Alligator mississippiensis: one gene and its partner. The protein of the gene in region 2 interacts with the protein of the main gene of each other region in a biochemical or structural test. Links are inferred from orthologs where the notes say so. Each region holds a gene or a part of one and is shown on either strand. Other genes may lie near its edges.

Region 1 (3,751 bases), on a different chromosome or scaffold from region 2:
ACGTGGGTGTAAGCGACTCATCAGCTAAATTCAGGATCAGGGCTTGACACAGTAATAAGTAACAGGAGATGCCAGTATGTTTGAGGATGCATCGTTTTCTGCAGGCTACCATTGGTTTATACAAACAATAATGCACAGAAATTGTTCATGGAAATTATTACACATGAACACAACTAAGCAGCCACATACACAATATTAATTTTTTTATTTATATGCTCAGTTGTGGTTGGGGGACAATTTTGTATTTACTCTTGCCATTGCAGAATTATAACAACATATTCTGGTTAAAACTATAAGTGAACTATAAGTTCACTGGTTAAAACTGTAAGTGAACACTTTAAGTGTTCAGGACACAACATTTGTAATTTATGCATGATATTTTAGTGGAGGGGATTAGGTTTGGTCTTCAGTTGTTTAATATTAAATTCTACCTCTTGATATATCAAACATTTTAAAAACAAAGTAGATACTCAGGCAACCACACACCCACACACTTATAACGTATTTCATACATTTAAGGCAATGTATTTGATATTGCCTAAACAGGGAATTTAGCCATTGACTTCAGTAGGAGTAAGAGCAATCTCCAAGAACTGTCAGTGGAGCTGTTATCTTTTAAGGGGTACTGAAAAGTCAAACTAGTTGTGAAGGTGGCTTTTAACACACGCTCATACATTCTCTGTCAATAAAGCAACAGTAAGTACAAGTACACAGCACTCTATACCACTCTTTCATGAATAGTGTATTGGGTGCTCCAAGTATGACAAAAACCTGCTAGTACATATGCCCACCACTGCTGGTGATACAAGTGCTACATCCTGACATTAAATTGAAAGTCTGGGAAACTGCTGTTGGATTCCACAGCAAAGATAGGATTAAAAGTGAAAATCTCTGCCTTTTTTTCCCCATGATGATGACATCATTTCCCACACTGACAACAATAAAGTGAGAAATAAAGGTAAAAAAGAAGAGTAAGTTACATAACTTCAAGCTTGCGACAGGATTTAAAGATGAGAAATAACAAGCTTACAATATTGCTTCAGCACTTTTTACTTCACAAAACTCATTTGAAGACCTCTTAGGTCACTGATATTTATCAGGATTTATTAAGTGGCATTTATTCACATTAGGGCTTTAAACAGTACTGAAAACATTGTAAATGCTGACAGATGGATCCCAACGCATATTTATGAGGTTCATCTGACCACAATACCTCTAGCACCATTTAATTTTAGCATTTAATAATTATTCCATGGCATAAAAGATATCCCACAATGTTAGGAACTAGTCAATCTGTAGTAACTAGGATGTTTACTGTAAATGACTGAAGTTAGTAAGTTAGCAAGTAGGTAAATAATTATACATACAAGGATTATATATGATCATATATTTTACAATAATTTATTTATCAAGCATTAGCTTATACAACTATATTTCATAGGATACCTACAACAGTGTTCCCTGACATATTTGTTAAGAAATAAGAGACTGCACACTGTTAAATTCAGGGGCGAAAGGGAAATCAGGACCTGCTCTTTGAAGTGTTTGATTGTTACGCATCTGAGCTTGATTCTTTTCCCTTTTCATTCCTCCACTAAAATCCATTGTATGTGCCCCCATACACAAATACAGTACAATGACCAGGGTCATAAACAGAACAGCCAGTAGGTATAAAGGCCAGTGGTAGGCAATGTGCACTTTTACTACTGGAAAAAAAAAGACAACAACTACTGAAAAACTGAAGTACAGCAGAAGTCAAAAAACATTATGTCTTAGGCCTATGACAGTTTTCCTAAGCTTCCTCGCACCATACACATACACACACACACACACACACACACACACATATGTGTACTCCCTTTCTCCACATGAATGCATACCTTGGTGGTATTTCCTAATGAAATACCTGATGCCCAATAGTCACCAGCCATTGTAGGAAAGAGAGCTCTTGCCACAGGGATACTCAGCAGCAGGCATTGAGTTATGACCCTTGTTTCCCTCTTTCCCAAAGAATCCAGCATCAGCATCTCTCCCTCCATCTCCATAGCAGGACCAAGACCAGCTTGGGTATTCGCAGCCAGGAAAATCGCATGCCTAGCGACCAAGCACCGTACCCAGGGGAGCCGCACCGGTGTCTATTTAGCTAGATTTAAAAGTAGGCAACAGGCTGAAGCTCCCTCCCTTCCCGCCCCTCAGCGCATCCTTCCCCTTAGCCATTTCCACTGAAACCGCAGTGCATTGCAACACTAGCAGCCGCCTCTGGCTCAGGAATATTCATCCCCCCCCCCCCCCCCAGTACTAAATACTCCTCAGAGTCTTTGCAGTGGTGGGAAGAGTCCTTAATGGAGGCTTCAGCATCCTCTGCAGCCCTTTGGCTTTTGCATGGGGGCGGTGGGGGGGGAGTGAATAAAGGGAGGTGGGGGAGAAAGTAGAGGTGAGGGACAAGATGAGTGAAGGAATGAATGAACTGCTACCTCCAGAAAGGCTCTGTGGGTTGCTGCTGCTGCCTGCTCCTGCTCCTGCTCCTGCTGTCACAGCGGATCAGCTGATATTTACCTGTGAGGTAATGCACACTCTGTAAGGTCACCATGCACCCGCTGAAATACAGTGCAAGGCAGCAGGGACGCAGAGAGAGGGAGCTGCTGCCGCCACCGCTTACCACACTGGAGCGAGGAGGATGCACCGCGCCTGCTGCTGCTGCTGCTGCTGCTGCAGCTCCTGGCACATGCTGCAGGTGTCATAGCAGAAACTGCCCTGCCTCACCGAGTCCTCATCTCTTTTCTGCGCCTGCGCCAACCCCCTGGCGGGCATGTGCGAAGGCTCCGCGCATGCCTAGTGGGAACGTGAAGCTCAGATGAAGCCGCTGCCCTTACTCCGCCCTTTGCCCGGAGCTTCCGTGAGGTTCTCTTCCCCCCGCCTCCCTCGGAGCTTGGCGCCGGGCGGGCGGGGGGCGCAGCGCGAGGGGGTGACGTATTGGGGGTGGAGGTGCCGGGCGGGGGCTGCAGGAGCCCTGTGCAGGATGATGTCATGTTTTGTTTGGCAGAGGTTGCTGCGGGCGGAGGAAACCCTCCTCTCTGATGGAGAGGGGGCTTTTGGCTTCCTCCTCGCCCTCCCGGTGTGCCAGTCGCGCCCCACACTTGGCACTTTGTGCCCTCCTTTGCCAGCATCTGAGGGAGGGAGCTGGGCTTCCCCCGCTCTCCCTCTCTCCCCCTCATTCAGGCTATGAAGATGCATCTCTGCTCTGCCTCCTCCCTTACTTCAGGCTCCTGTCATCCCCTCGTGCCCAGCACAAAGGGGGACGATTCCTCTGCTGCAGAAGCGTCTGGCGGATTCCTTCCCGCAAAATGCCGGGTGGCGGTGCTGGGCAGGTCACCCCGGCCCCCTGGCCGTGGCAGCCAAAGCCCTGGGGGGACCAAAAACGTGAATAAGGGCTTGCCGTACAGTAATTTTGGGCTGCTCCTAGAACATCTTAACCCCGGGATTGTCCCCACACCTTAGGGTGTGTACAGAAGTGCTCCATGGACATTTTACAGGACTATAATTCAGAACATTTTTCACAGCACTGTACAGTTACAGTGCTCTTCACCAGGATAGAAGTGCAGTGTTTGCGGGGGAGGTCTGAGCCTCCCTGCACTTTCTGGGCTAGGAGTCAGGGAGTGCTCTGCAGCCTCCTGGGGCTTCTCCACTGCTCAGAAATTTGACCAGCATATATAATTTATTTAAAGCACTGTAGGTTGCTAAAGTGCTGTAA
Region 2 (3,751 bases):
CAGTAAGGCGTTGTTATAAACAGGGGCTGTTATGGTAAGCTGGGGGTGTAACTTAAGGAGTGTGTAATTTAAGAAAGTCCATGTGGGGGTGTGCAATTTAAGAGAGCATGTGTACAATTTAAGAAAAAGTGTGTGCACATGTGGGTAGGGGTTGTGCAATCTAAGAGCGAGTGTGTGTGTGTAATTTAAGAGTCTGTATGGGTAAGGGTGTGGTGTCTCCAATTTAGAAGTGTGTGCATCTGTTTAATTTAAGAAAGAGAAAGAGTATGTGGGTGGGTGGGATGTGAGTGGGTGTGTGTGTCTAAGGGTGTATAATTTTGATTTGAGTCCAGAATTCCCCAAATCCAGCTGCATCTAGGCACCATCCAGCAGTCTTTCCTGCCCAGAGTAAGGGGGCTGGACCCAATGATCTCCCTTCCAGGGCTAAATTTCTGTGAAGCAGGTTATTATATATTTATGCCCTTAAAAACAGGGACAAATAATGGAACGACTTTGCAACCCTCATCTGCTGCATAAGAACCTGGAGCATTCCTATGAACTAGAACCAACTAAACTCGCTCTTCACTTGGGCACTATAATCTGGGGGTCCACAACAACAACAGCAACAACAAGGCATCTGGATTTTTCCTTCCTTAATGCTTCTATTGTCTTGGGTTCTGTAGAAGTAACTGGAATCACTGAAAAAATTATATAATTTGAGAGTGTGGGGCAAGAGATCAGCAAGGACTGGTAGGATCCATATAGATCCTGCTGCAGCTTTTGGAACCAGCCAAGACCTACTTTCTGTAACCTAGAATAATTTAACAATGAAGTTTTCAAAATCCTTCTTCCAATGACTTACTGCAACAGCTCAAAATCCAAAATTGTAAAATCCTGACCTTTACTTCCTATTGTTTTAAACAAGTACTCCATTTGGGTATTTATTTGTTTTAGTGTAATTGCAACTTTGCTGTGTGTCCAGAGCTCCTGGAGTACACAGAACATTTATTTGCTCCTGATTTAGATTAACTAAATGGATTTTGAAGCACAATCCCATGCTACACAGTGACTGAACATGCACCTCCAAGGGCTTACTTACTGTGCCTTCTGTTGCACCAGGAGCACTGGTGTGAAGCACAACTCACCCACTCAGTTCCTCCCAGGCATGTCTCATCTCAGAAATGATGTTACATAGACACATTAGAGTGCTCAAGTTTGCATCAGTAAGCAAAACTGTGACAGAGACCCTAAAATCAGCTCTGGGTGTGCAGTCGAAGGCAGCTAGCCACATTGCCTTATTTTCTGAGACTATTTCCAGTCTCCTTGTGGAAAAGATGTAGACACAGCATAAGTGCCCTTCGATATCCTTCAGTATCACTCCTGCTATGTCTTATACTGCAAACTGTTGAGTAGTGTAGGTATATCCAGATTAGCTGAGGTACTGGAAGTAGATCAGGTGTGGTTGCATGGAGATCCACCTGGGCTAATTTACCCTGATTCTCAGTAAAGTAAATTGCTATTTGTTCACCTGGCTGCTGATGCCACAGAAATATCCTAGGGGATGAAGCCTCTGTTTAGGTCTGCCACTGATCCCATCTCCCTTCTTCTGATTCCTTTCCAAACAAGCTTTTCCTCCATTATGTAATAAGCCCAATATTTTTGGTCTCAATACTCTGCTCCTCACCCCCACCCTCTTGTCTTGTCCCTTTAGGTTTCAAACTGTTTGGGGAAGGACCTATCAGTAGATGGTACTATGCATTTGCATACCACCTGGCATGGTTGGGAATATTCTTGATTCACCCATAGGCATAAGCATAATTAAGACTTTTAATAATAAGGTAGGAAGACTTTTCTTCTAACCCCCAACTTCAGAATTATAAAATGGTAAATGATAACCCAAGTACCATTTTCCCTCTTCTAATTTTTCACAACAAAAATTAAAAATCCCACAATCCAAATTATTCAGTTACACTTATACATGCACTTGAGGGCAAATTAAAAACCAAAGCATTGTAAAGGTATTATTGACAGCAAATGTGATAGACAAAATAGAAATAGAAATCTCCACCAATACAGGGGAATGCAAACAAACTGCATGAGACTACATTTCTACATCAAAATATAGTCATTCTTTGGTTATATTTTGATGATTAAAATATTTCACTTAATATATTTTGATGATTGATTAAAATATTTCAGTTTTTATAATACGTTATTTTGTTTAAACTTTTTTCCTCCAGTATCATAAAAATTCTTCATTGAAAAAAATATTTCTAATCAGCTTTAGCATCTGTTAGGCCTCCACAGACCACAAAAGAAGGTGAAGGCAAACTTTCTTCTTTCTAGAACTAACTTGCAACTTCTAACTTCCATTACATTACACCCCTTAAGATCACCCAGACTATCTTTATCTTACTTTAACTCACTCTGAGTTCTCCCCATGTTCATTTAAAACTTACCTTTTCTATTAGGTGGCATCTCTGTTTGCAGTAAGCTTTAGTGTAACCTGTTTCTACATGAGCTGGAAGGAAACCAGGTACAGGTGATAGGGCCTGTGGGATAATTTTTAAAGGGCTAGCAACTTGGTAACAATGAGGAAGTGTTTTAAAAACACCAAAGTTATTCTGAAAGCATTAAAAGCATACAATTTCCAAAAGAGATGGATCCACATTTTTGCAATATTTTAATTTTGCTAATTAAGGATCTAGTGCATTTAATAAAGGAGTATCTAAATGGCTCCTCATTTTTAATATACATAGAAAATAAATAGAGAGTAAGCAGATGCTGGAAGAGAAAATGAAAGAATGAATAAATAAATGTAGAAAGTGGAAAGAATATACACGTTCACTTGGATTTTGTATAAATGAAGGGCTGGAATCGCCTCTTACATATTGTAGAGTAAATCCAGATGGCAATTTTGTACACGCTATTTTTAGAATCATTCTCCATTTTCTTTTTGAGCAAAAGTGATTTAATTTTTAAAAGAAACAACTAGAGTAGGAAAACAGTATTACTCTCATTCAAAGGTTAAAAAAAAATATGAGTCACACCTCTATCTATCCTGCTTTTGGCCCCAAATGCCCAAATTTTTCAAAGATGATTATATCATGATTTTTGATCTGTCTTCTCATCTGTGATCTTCTACTGGTCACCCCCAGTTCACAGAACATTTTCAGTGCTGCTAACTTAAAAATTAGAGTGATGCAATTCTGGCCTCCACTGCAGGAACTCTGCCTGATAGATCCAACTGAGATCAAATTACTGAGATGTGTATAAAGAGCTGTCCGATTGTGTAGAGAGTTTAAAGTCTCTGCTGAAATTCCATGTCCGATAATTGGCCCCATCGCATCCCCAGGCTAACAATGAAATACGCAACACAAGATCTGCATTGCTTCTTATCCCCACAGCTGTTCACTTTTTTTTCCTTATCACACATAGGCCCTACCTCTGTTCTGCTCCTCCACATTTGAAGATTGTCATTACACAGACAGCCCAGGCTAGATAAGGAGGGAAAACTGGCAGCGGCTCCCTTCCCCTCCTTCTCAGAATTACTGTTGTACAGTTATAGATTCAGACAAAAATAGGGCTGAAAGAGACCTCATGGAATAATCTAGTCTAGCCCCTGTATGAATTATCACAGACAAATGTTTGTCTAACCTAAAACTTCCAGTGATAGGTATTCCATAACCTCTCCAGATAAACTTTTGCAGTGCTTTACCACCCTCATTGTATCTCTCTCCTCTGCACTCCTGAGGCCTCATCTAGAGTATAG

Evidence for each region. The genes of interacting proteins can lie anywhere in the genome.
Region 1: the proteins of DMD (region 2) and DTNA form a complex in vitro, tested with the Homo sapiens proteins (3 studies listed by BioGRID and IntAct, with this or other methods). The link is inferred for Alligator mississippiensis from reciprocal best matches to the Homo sapiens genes DMD and DTNA.

Annotation. Positions count from the first base shown.
Region 1 is NC_081826.1:79,295,680-79,299,430, forward strand, and holds the start of DTNA (dystrobrevin alpha), read right to left. Parts: upstream 2,749-3,751; 5' UTR 2,742-2,748; coding exon 2,660-2,741; intron 2,561-2,659; exon of another isoform or gene 2,557-2,560; coding exon 2,475-2,556; intron 1-2,474. UniProt on the Homo sapiens protein: May be involved in the formation and stability of synapses as well as being involved in the clustering of nicotinic acetylcholine receptors.
Region 2 is NC_081824.1:308,597,956-308,601,706, reverse strand, and holds the start of DMD (dystrophin), read right to left. Parts: upstream 2,516-3,751; 5' UTR 2,458-2,515; coding exon 2,439-2,457; intron 1,373-2,438; exon of another isoform or gene 1,079-1,372; intron 1-1,078. UniProt on the Homo sapiens protein: Anchors the extracellular matrix to the cytoskeleton via F-actin. Ligand for dystroglycan.